Bombyx mori: one gene and its partner. The protein of the gene in region 2 purifies or fractionates together with the protein of the main gene of each other region. This does not show direct contact. Links are inferred from orthologs where the notes say so. Each region holds a gene or a part of one and is shown on either strand. Other genes may lie near its edges.

The links.
Region 1: the proteins of syntaxin-17 (region 2) and vesicle-associated membrane protein 7-like purify together in Drosophila melanogaster (affinity purification with western blotting; 4 studies listed by BioGRID, with this or other methods). This does not show direct contact. The link is inferred for Bombyx mori from reciprocal best matches to the Drosophila melanogaster genes Syx17 and Vamp7.

Annotation. Positions count from the first base shown.
Region 1 is NC_085119.1:6,315,000-6,319,508, forward strand, and holds the start of vesicle-associated membrane protein 7-like, read right to left. Parts: upstream 3,023-4,509; 5' UTR 2,833-3,022; coding exon 2,629-2,832; intron 1,788-2,628; coding exon 1,604-1,787; intron 916-1,603; coding exon 857-915; intron 1-856.
Region 2 is NC_085130.1:9,434,783-9,439,071, forward strand, and holds the start of syntaxin-17, read right to left. Parts: upstream 2,956-4,289; 5' UTR 2,783-2,955; coding exon 2,663-2,782; intron 1,672-2,662; coding exon 1,476-1,671; intron 1,395-1,475; coding exon 1,335-1,394; intron 1,084-1,334; exon of another isoform or gene 884-1,083; coding exon of another isoform or gene 1-883. Other genes in the region: uncharacterized protein LOC105842541, read left to right, coding at 1-883.

The DNA of each region.
Region 1 (4,509 bases), on a different chromosome or scaffold from region 2:
CTCTTGAGAGTCCGTACGAGTAGATACCACCACACTGCCTATTTCTGCCGTGAAGCAGTAATGCGTTTCGGTATGAAGGGTGGGGCAGCCGTTGTAACTATACTGAGACCTTAGAACTTAAATCTCAAGGTGGGTGGCGCATTTACGTTGTAGATGTCTATAGGCTCTAGTAACCACTTAACACCAGGTGGGCTATGAGCTCGTCCACCCATCTAAGCAATAAAAAAATAAAAAACTTGATTTGGTAATAGATTTTGTTTATACGAGTCATCTATTATCAAAGGTGGCAATCTGTGCATTTGGACAAAAAAATGTTATTGATATGTCAATACAGATTGATTTGAATATAATCGTCTCCTTCAAAGAATACGGTTCAAAACCTGCTTAAATAAAGGTTAATACTTAACCTGTTATTTATCTAAGATGTCGTGCAGAAGAGTTTTGTGACTGCCAATGGAATACAAAGTCAATAATTCGTTTTTCTGATTTACCAATAATTGTCCAAAAGTCACATTGCCGGCTTTGATAATAGTCGACTCATACATACTATTTAATAGGTATTCTGTGAATTTTTTTCCATTTAAAATGTTGAAACTGATAGTCTTTTTTTCCGCCGCATTCATACATCCGGCAGAGACATTTATAACGAGCGAAACTAAATAAAATCAAAATTAAAGGCAACCCCGTATTTCTCCCGCGGAGCAGTAAGGATCCCCGTTTGAAGGGTGGTCCTTGTTATACTGTAGAACAGAGTTAGAAATCATGTCTCGAGACAATGGCATTTACGTTATTCATGCTTATGAGAGAAATAGCTAATGACTATATTTTGTAGGCTTAATGTCTTATGTAAACTTACACTGTACGATAAACTATCGATGCTATCAACTAAAAGCATTTTCTCGCCGAGAATTGTTTCTGAAAAGAAAAAAAAACTAATTTAAAATTAAATGTAGTTTAAGAACCCGTACGTTCAATTACAAACCGTACCAACAAATAATTTTATCTTTATTTTGTACCTTTTTTGAATACCGGTCAGGATTTCAGAGCGATTAGAGCAATTAAAATTATTGTTTAGCTAACGGTCCTTCATTCGTGTACAAACTTTCTGATTAGTGGTCGGTACGTCTTAAAATCGATGCAAATCACATTATAAAGAAGACATACAAACATACATACGTATAATTGGAATTTAATTGTTATTATAAAAAAAATATAGACACATTTTTTAGATATTGCTGCTTTCATCGACCTCGCCATGTTGCCATTTTGTTTTATTATTATTTCTCTCTTTCTTACAAATTTCTCTCACTCACACCTTAACACTCCGTTCCACGCTCTTTCCATACGTTCCGTTCTCAACCATCCTACATATTTACCAAACTATTTAATAAATAACTAAAAATTTATTGACACATTTTTTACACATCGCTCACTTCATCGTCCTCGCGGTCTTGCTTTTTTTATTATTATTTCTCTCTATTTCTCACAAATTTCTCTCACTCACACCTTAACACTCCGTTCCACGCTCTTTCCATAGGTTCCGTTCTTAACCATCCTACATATTTACAAAGCTGTTTAATAAAAAATGTTTAAAAAAACTTACCACTCCTTTCAACGCTGATCCTGTTCAATTCATCCAGTTCGCCATTTCTTATAACTATAGTACTGTAATCTTCATTGTATCGGTACATTTCCTCTGCCAGTATATGTTCGAAATTTTTTACGTATTCAGCAAATCGTCTCTGGATTTGATTTAAGAATAAAAATGCCCTTGATCTCTGACAGCTCTGTTAAGAAAATACATTTGATTTGAAGACTATAGAAAAAATATTTACATAATTCTGACTTAAGCTAACATAAGGGAACTTTATGCGAATAACGACGTGTGCTTCTCTCATATTTAACAGAAAATCTTTACACAATCTTGCACATACAGAAATATGTAAATAAAGTTTCTTCAATTTTCAACTGACGTATATGTTTAGTTTCAATATTCAACCTATTTAATAAGTGGCAATCGTTCGTCCAAATTTTCTCTGTGCTATGTGTTCAGAAGATATATGGGACAACAATAAGTGCACCAGATCGAATAACTAATATCTTTAAGAAATTTATTGACGAGAACGAAATAAAAAAAAAACAAGTTTTAAACACCGGCCACAATAAAAATGAGATATTTTCGTTTTATACTATTCGTTTTTTTTTCTACCTATTCTAGTAACCTCGAGGGGCTATTCTAGATTCAGTAAGTGAGCTCACGGGGCTCAACCGGAAGTGTTGCTAACACTGGCCCTAGCAAGAGCAGTGCTTCGCAGAATCTACCACCGGATCGGAAACGCGACCCACTGAGAAGATCCGGCGAGAAACTCAGTGGGCTGTGTCTGTGGGTTAATTTACTCGTCGAGCCCTTCGTCGCAAGCGACGGGTTCGGCGAGGACGGTGACCGGTGCTTGAGGTACCTAAAAGCACCGTTAATGGATCGGGAGGATCCGTAATGACGTGTTTTGAGCAATTCGAATGTATTGGACGACATTATCAATGAACTTTCAGAACAATATTTATATTCTATTTTTTCATGTATGTTTTTTAACTTGTAAGAAGTCCTTTTCAAACGAAATCGTAACTTACCTTTTCTGTAATACAAAGAAATATATTTTTCTTGTGAACAACATAGTGAATCAAATATTTTCCGTGAAGGTACGTCATCTTGTGATCATGTACCGGTATTTTTGAGACCATTCGTTCGGATATCTCCACGAAGTTACCATCGCAGGTTGCGAATTTCGAAACGACTCGTTTATCACACGCTATCACACTGAATAATATAGGCATTATAAATATGACTACAAATTATTATCACTGTTCACACCATTTGACGCTTTCACTATTATTATCAGTTTCAATAATTTTTTTGAAGAATATTGTTTAACTGCTGCATTACAAGAGTACAAACCGCAACTATACGATGTGGCGTCCTCTCGATCCGCCCACGGTTTAAAGATTTTGAATGTCCAAACGCAATGCGTTAAGGATGTCATTCGTTTTTTGACGGAAATAAAACAGATCTAGTCACATTAGCCAGTGTTCTCTGTATTTTGTTTAACCGATGCGATATCAAGACTCTGGTAACCTTTTGTTACCAAATGGACCGACGTGTGCGCAAAAATGTTCATTATAAAACAGATTTGTTTAATCTGTGCATGCATTATTCTTCAAATTTAATTCAACAAAATATTCATTGGTTTTGTTTAAAGAAAAAACCCAGTAATACAAGACTTGTATTTGTTTGTGTCTAAAAATATAAGAGGAATTATCTTAAAAACTGAAAATTTGGTCTTGTTGCTATGACAAGAGTCCGCGATATCTATATATTAATACGTGAAGCAAAAACTTTGTATCCCTTTTTACGAAAATTGCGCGGACGGAGGAGTATGAAATTTTCCACACTTATAGAGAATATAGAGAAGAAGTGCACAATGCTAATATTTTTTTAAAATAATGCATAAAAGATACATTAAATCAATAAAGAAAACATTACACACACTACATACCATGTATTTGACGCACACACGCATGCATACTATTTATTGTCCAACTTTTGTTCTTGACCTCTGTTGTCAGATTGAGAATAGATTAAATATTGTTAGTCTTTGTTAATATTTTTTATAGTGTAGTCTTGGCGAAATTTGTGACTATAGAAGTATAAAATACAATAATAATAGTGTACAAACTTACAATTCCAATTAATTATAGTCGAATTTCGACTACTGCGGGACCTCTAGTATTAATAAAATCACTTGCTTACAGTAAGTCGGTTAAGTGTAGTATATTCTATGCCAATAAGACAATAACTGTGGCCAACATTTAGTATGCTGCTGCCAGATGTTGATAGAATTAGGGGACGCGATACTAAATCTACTTATGAAGGAAAAATGTTTCCTTTATTAAAAATAATGGAATGAAATCTTCCTCGAAGCAACATATACTACAACAACGCGAACAATAAAACACACATTAATAATTTATTAAGCTAAGCTTATCTACATTGGCGGATTTTTTAATTTATAACATTCTTTCGTGACATTCGTATACCAAAAACAACTGAAAAAAAATCAAAATAATCATGTTATTATGAATCACCAGTATCACTTTTGTTTTTCATCTTCAAGAACAAACAAACACCTCCTTTTTACCATAAGGATATGGATTGTTACCGATATTTTTACATACCTACTTGATGCTTGTGGGTTACAGAAAAAAAAAAACGAGAAAATCGAACGTTTGACAACCCTGCATTGAAAAATTCAGTATCGCACAAATATCACACGATCGTTCTAAAATAAATTTCCGTGTCGGCCGAAGCTAAAATCGTTTCGTGCTCGCTAAAACTGTCACCGTACATAAATTGATCAGTTTTAAGAGACATGTGCAGACAAGCGTGCCACGCATGTGCTCAACTTGCTTCTTTGAGATAATTGAATATTATTTGCCTACGTACTCATACACTCC
Region 2 (4,289 bases):
TAGTGTGGATTATGCTGGGCCAATTTTGATCGCTGATCGTAAAGGGCGAGGCTGTAAATTAGTAAAATCATACTTATGCATTTTTGTGTGCCTTGCAGTAAAAGCTGTTCATATCGAGCTCGTCACCGCATTGTCATCGGAGGCGTACATAGCTGCTCTCAAAAGATTCGTGTCTCGTCGAGGCAAGCCCCGCAGCATATGGTCCGACAATGGGACAAATTTTGTTGGTGCTTGCAACGAACTCAAAGGCGTCCTTTCAAACTCAGACATTGCGTCATTCATGTCTCAAGAAGGCATAGATTTTAGTTTTTCTCCACCTTATTCCCCTCATTTTAATGGTCTGGCTGAAGCAGCGGTTAAGGCCACTAAAGGCCATCTCAAAAAACTCCTCAGTCTTACTCACCTCACGTATGAAGAAATGTCTTCGTGCTTATGTCAAATTGAGGCCATTCTAAATTCCCGTCCACTTACTCCTATTTCCTCTGATCCGTTAGATTTAACTGCCCTTACTCCTGCTCACTTTCTGATTGGACGACCGCTCACGTCAGTTCCGCACCCGCAGATTACCGACGGCAACATCACGCGCTTGGAGCGCTACCAACGAGTGGAACTCATCAGGCAGCATTTTTGGAAGCGCTTTATTAATGAATACATTTCTCTGCTGCAGCAGAAATCTAAATGGTCCACCTCTACAGGGAGCTTGATACCAGGGACGCTAGTCCTTGTGAAGGACAGGACGCTACCGGCTCTGTTGTGGCCTTTGGGCCGCATTACCAAGACGTATCCGGGCAGCGACGGCATCACACGGGTCGCAGAGGTCAAGACGAGGACGGGGACCGTGGTGCGAGGCTTCAACTCCATCTGCCCCCTCCCTCTTCATTGAAGTACCCATATATACTTCAACCCGGGCAGTCTGTCGATGCACGGACATCGACGATCGCGCGGCGCGGGCGCCGGGAGGAGGACAGCGGCGCGGGGTAGCGGATTGACACCGGCTTCGTCACTCCGTGCAGCAACGCCGCCCGCGACACTTACTTGTTTTTATCTTGTTTTACTCTTTTTATAAACTTACCAAATAATACAGTCCGCTCTTTTATTTTATATATCACCGGTCTACCCCAGAGCAGTTCGAAACAGAAATACGTTCACCGTTTAACTTAAACACAGGTACTCTATGCGCAGTGTTATGTAGCAAGTTATCTTACAGACGGCATATTATTTCTAAGCGTGTTTGACAAAAACAGTACCATTCAAGTTTAATTAGTAAAATGAATGAAATGTAGCACAGTGTTACTTCAAGTTCCAACAAGAATGCATTTCTTAGTTATTCTCACCGATCGGTCGAGAGCTCGCCCTGCGCGACACTAGCGCCCTACAACTGCTTTCAATAATACCTAAAATTTTGTGGGAGCCAAGTAAATTATACATGTATGTTACGTTTGGGGGAGCAGGAGAGTGCGGGGCTGTACGCTCACCCAGGTAGTCCATGATCGCTTTGAGCGTGTTGTCCCGGGAGCTCCGGGTGAGCGCGTCGAAGCGCGGCAGGTCGTCGAGCCGCACGCGTCGCCGCAGCGCCTCCAGCTCGCCGAGCAGCGCGCGCAGCTGCGACGCCACCCGCCGCGCGTGCGTCTGCTCGCTTCGGACTCGCGCGTACTCGCCGCCCTCCTCATACTGTTCACAAACTAGACACAGTTCAGCTCTCCTTGTCAACAAACCGTTACCATTTGTCCATGATTGTGATTAAAAACACGTGACTAACTCTTCAATTAGTCATATGTAACAAACAAGTGTAAAATATTCAAAACTTGGAACAATAGATTTAAGACTAGATTAACAATAGATTGGGAATGCACTTAGATGTATATATGTATATATATATATATATATATAATCCATTTTTTCTCCTCCCTAATTGCTGGCAGCGTAAACTACATAAAAGAAAAGGTAGATTCTGCTGAGAGTACCTTAACGCCCTAATCAACATTGTCTACATCTCATTTACTTATAGTCCACATGACTTATTGAACTATAAGAAGAAAAAAATAAGGTTTAACTGTTTCTTAACCAACCAACCATATATTGTTGAAATCAAGATAAGGAAGAACAGCAAGAGCCAAAAGATTTTAGGTAAATTTGGAATAATTATTACTTTTAATTTTATAATTATTTCAGAATATAGAAATTACATAAATTGATGGTAGAAATCTTGTTTTTTTAAATTTAGTAAATCTAGCCTATGGTTGGAATTAAAAAATACTGCAAGCTTAAAACAAATCTTAATTACTTATGTTTCTAATTGTAAATTGAACTGAACATAAAAATAGAGACTGAATGCTTTCTATTTTATTATCCACAAGAATGCCTTGTGAATACTTATGACTGGGTTTGCCATATAAAGCTATTTACAAATTCTAGAGTTGTATCAGTTTTGAGCGTAACACAAAAAAGATTAATAGTTTTTATAAAAAAATGACGTTTGCTTTTTCTATACATTCTTCTATTCCACAGATGTTTAAACTATTTTTAGCTCACAGAGAGCTCAACATCACAACTACAAAATACTGCGCATAAAATGGAAACGATTATGAAACAACTTTCAACTTCGATAGGCTTTAAATTCATAAACATAAACTATACCCACAATTAATACAAATTTACGCACTTTGATAATATTAGCCTTGTGCTGCCGTAGTAAATCCAGATGATGTGGAATTGCAACTTCATTAAACTTCGTTAATGAAAATTCTACTCTTTTTAAAGGCAGCTTGTCTTCTTCTTCCATTCTTTATTACAATTTTCTCAGGATAAGAATTTATAGAGATCTTTAAAATATAGAAGATGAAATTTCAATTTGCTCAAACAAAAATAAACATTGTTTATCTATCTATCTCTTAGGTTTATGGCGTTTCCTTTTAGATTTTTGTTTTCATTTTCATCTCAACTTTAATCCCATTGTCAAAATAATGTCAAATGTCAAAATATTTCATCTGTACCCTTTTTTCATTTTTAACAGGAAAAGCGAAGGAATCATACCATAAAACCGGATCTTTTATATTTTCTGTTAATTGAAAAATAACGTAGTTTAGAAGTCGTCGTGGCCTAAAGGATAAGACGTTTGGTGCATTCGTGTTGAGCGATGTACGGGGTGTTCGAAACCCAGGCGGGTACCAATTTTTCTAATGAAATACGTACTCAACAAATGTTCACGATTGACTTCCATGGTGAAGGAATAACATCGTGTAATAAACCAAAATCAAACCCGCAAATTTTAATTTGCGTAATTACTGGTGGTAGGACCTCTAATAAGTTTACGCGGGTAGCTACCACCACCCTGCCTATTTCTGTCGCAGTAATGCGTTTCGGTTTGTAGGGTGGGGCAGCCGTTGTAACTATACTGAGACCTTAGAACTTATATCTCAAGGTGGGTGGCGCATTTACGTTGTGGATGTCTATGGGCTCCAGTAACCACTTAATACCAGGTGGGCTGTGAGCTCGTCCAACCATCTAAGCAATAAAAAATAAAATAAAAAACTCATTCTATAAAGAAATATTTTCATTTGAATTATTAAAGAGACTGTGATATTATGATGTTTTAATGAATTTGCGTAATCACTGGTGGTAGGACCTCTTGTGAGTCCGCACGGGTAGGTACCACCACCCTGCCTATTTCTGCTGTGAAGCAGTAGTGCGTTTCGATTTGAAGGGTGGGGCAGCCGTTGTAACTACACTGAGATCTTAGAACTCATACCTCGAGGTGGGTGGCGGCATTTACGTTGTAGATGTCTGAGCTCCGGTAACCACTTAACATTAGATGGACCGTGAGCTCGTCCATCCATCTAATCAATAAAAAAAAAGTGAAAATAATAGGGATTCAATAAGATGACGTTGATTTATTAGAGACTGTAATCAATTGGAATGAAATTAAATGAAATGAGACTCAATTCATTTAATTGCTGAGACTTTATCCCATCCCGTTTCAATGGGATGAAATAAAGTCTCAGTAAAATGATGGTTATTTGCAAAGACTAGTTTGCACGTAGACAAGAAACCACCACGTCCAGTGACTATTTCATTTTCCCACATTCATGCAGTTTCACCGATTCTAAACAATTAATAAGCCACCGCTATTACAAATTGAAGCCTAAAGAGACACTAAATTAAATTAACAAAATTAAAAAATTCACACTACTTCAGTCCAGGAGCGGACTCACGTTCCCGCTTATAAGTCTCAACACTTTTCAATTCTCAGATGATTGTTGATTCATTTGTCAAATTAAACAAGCAAACCA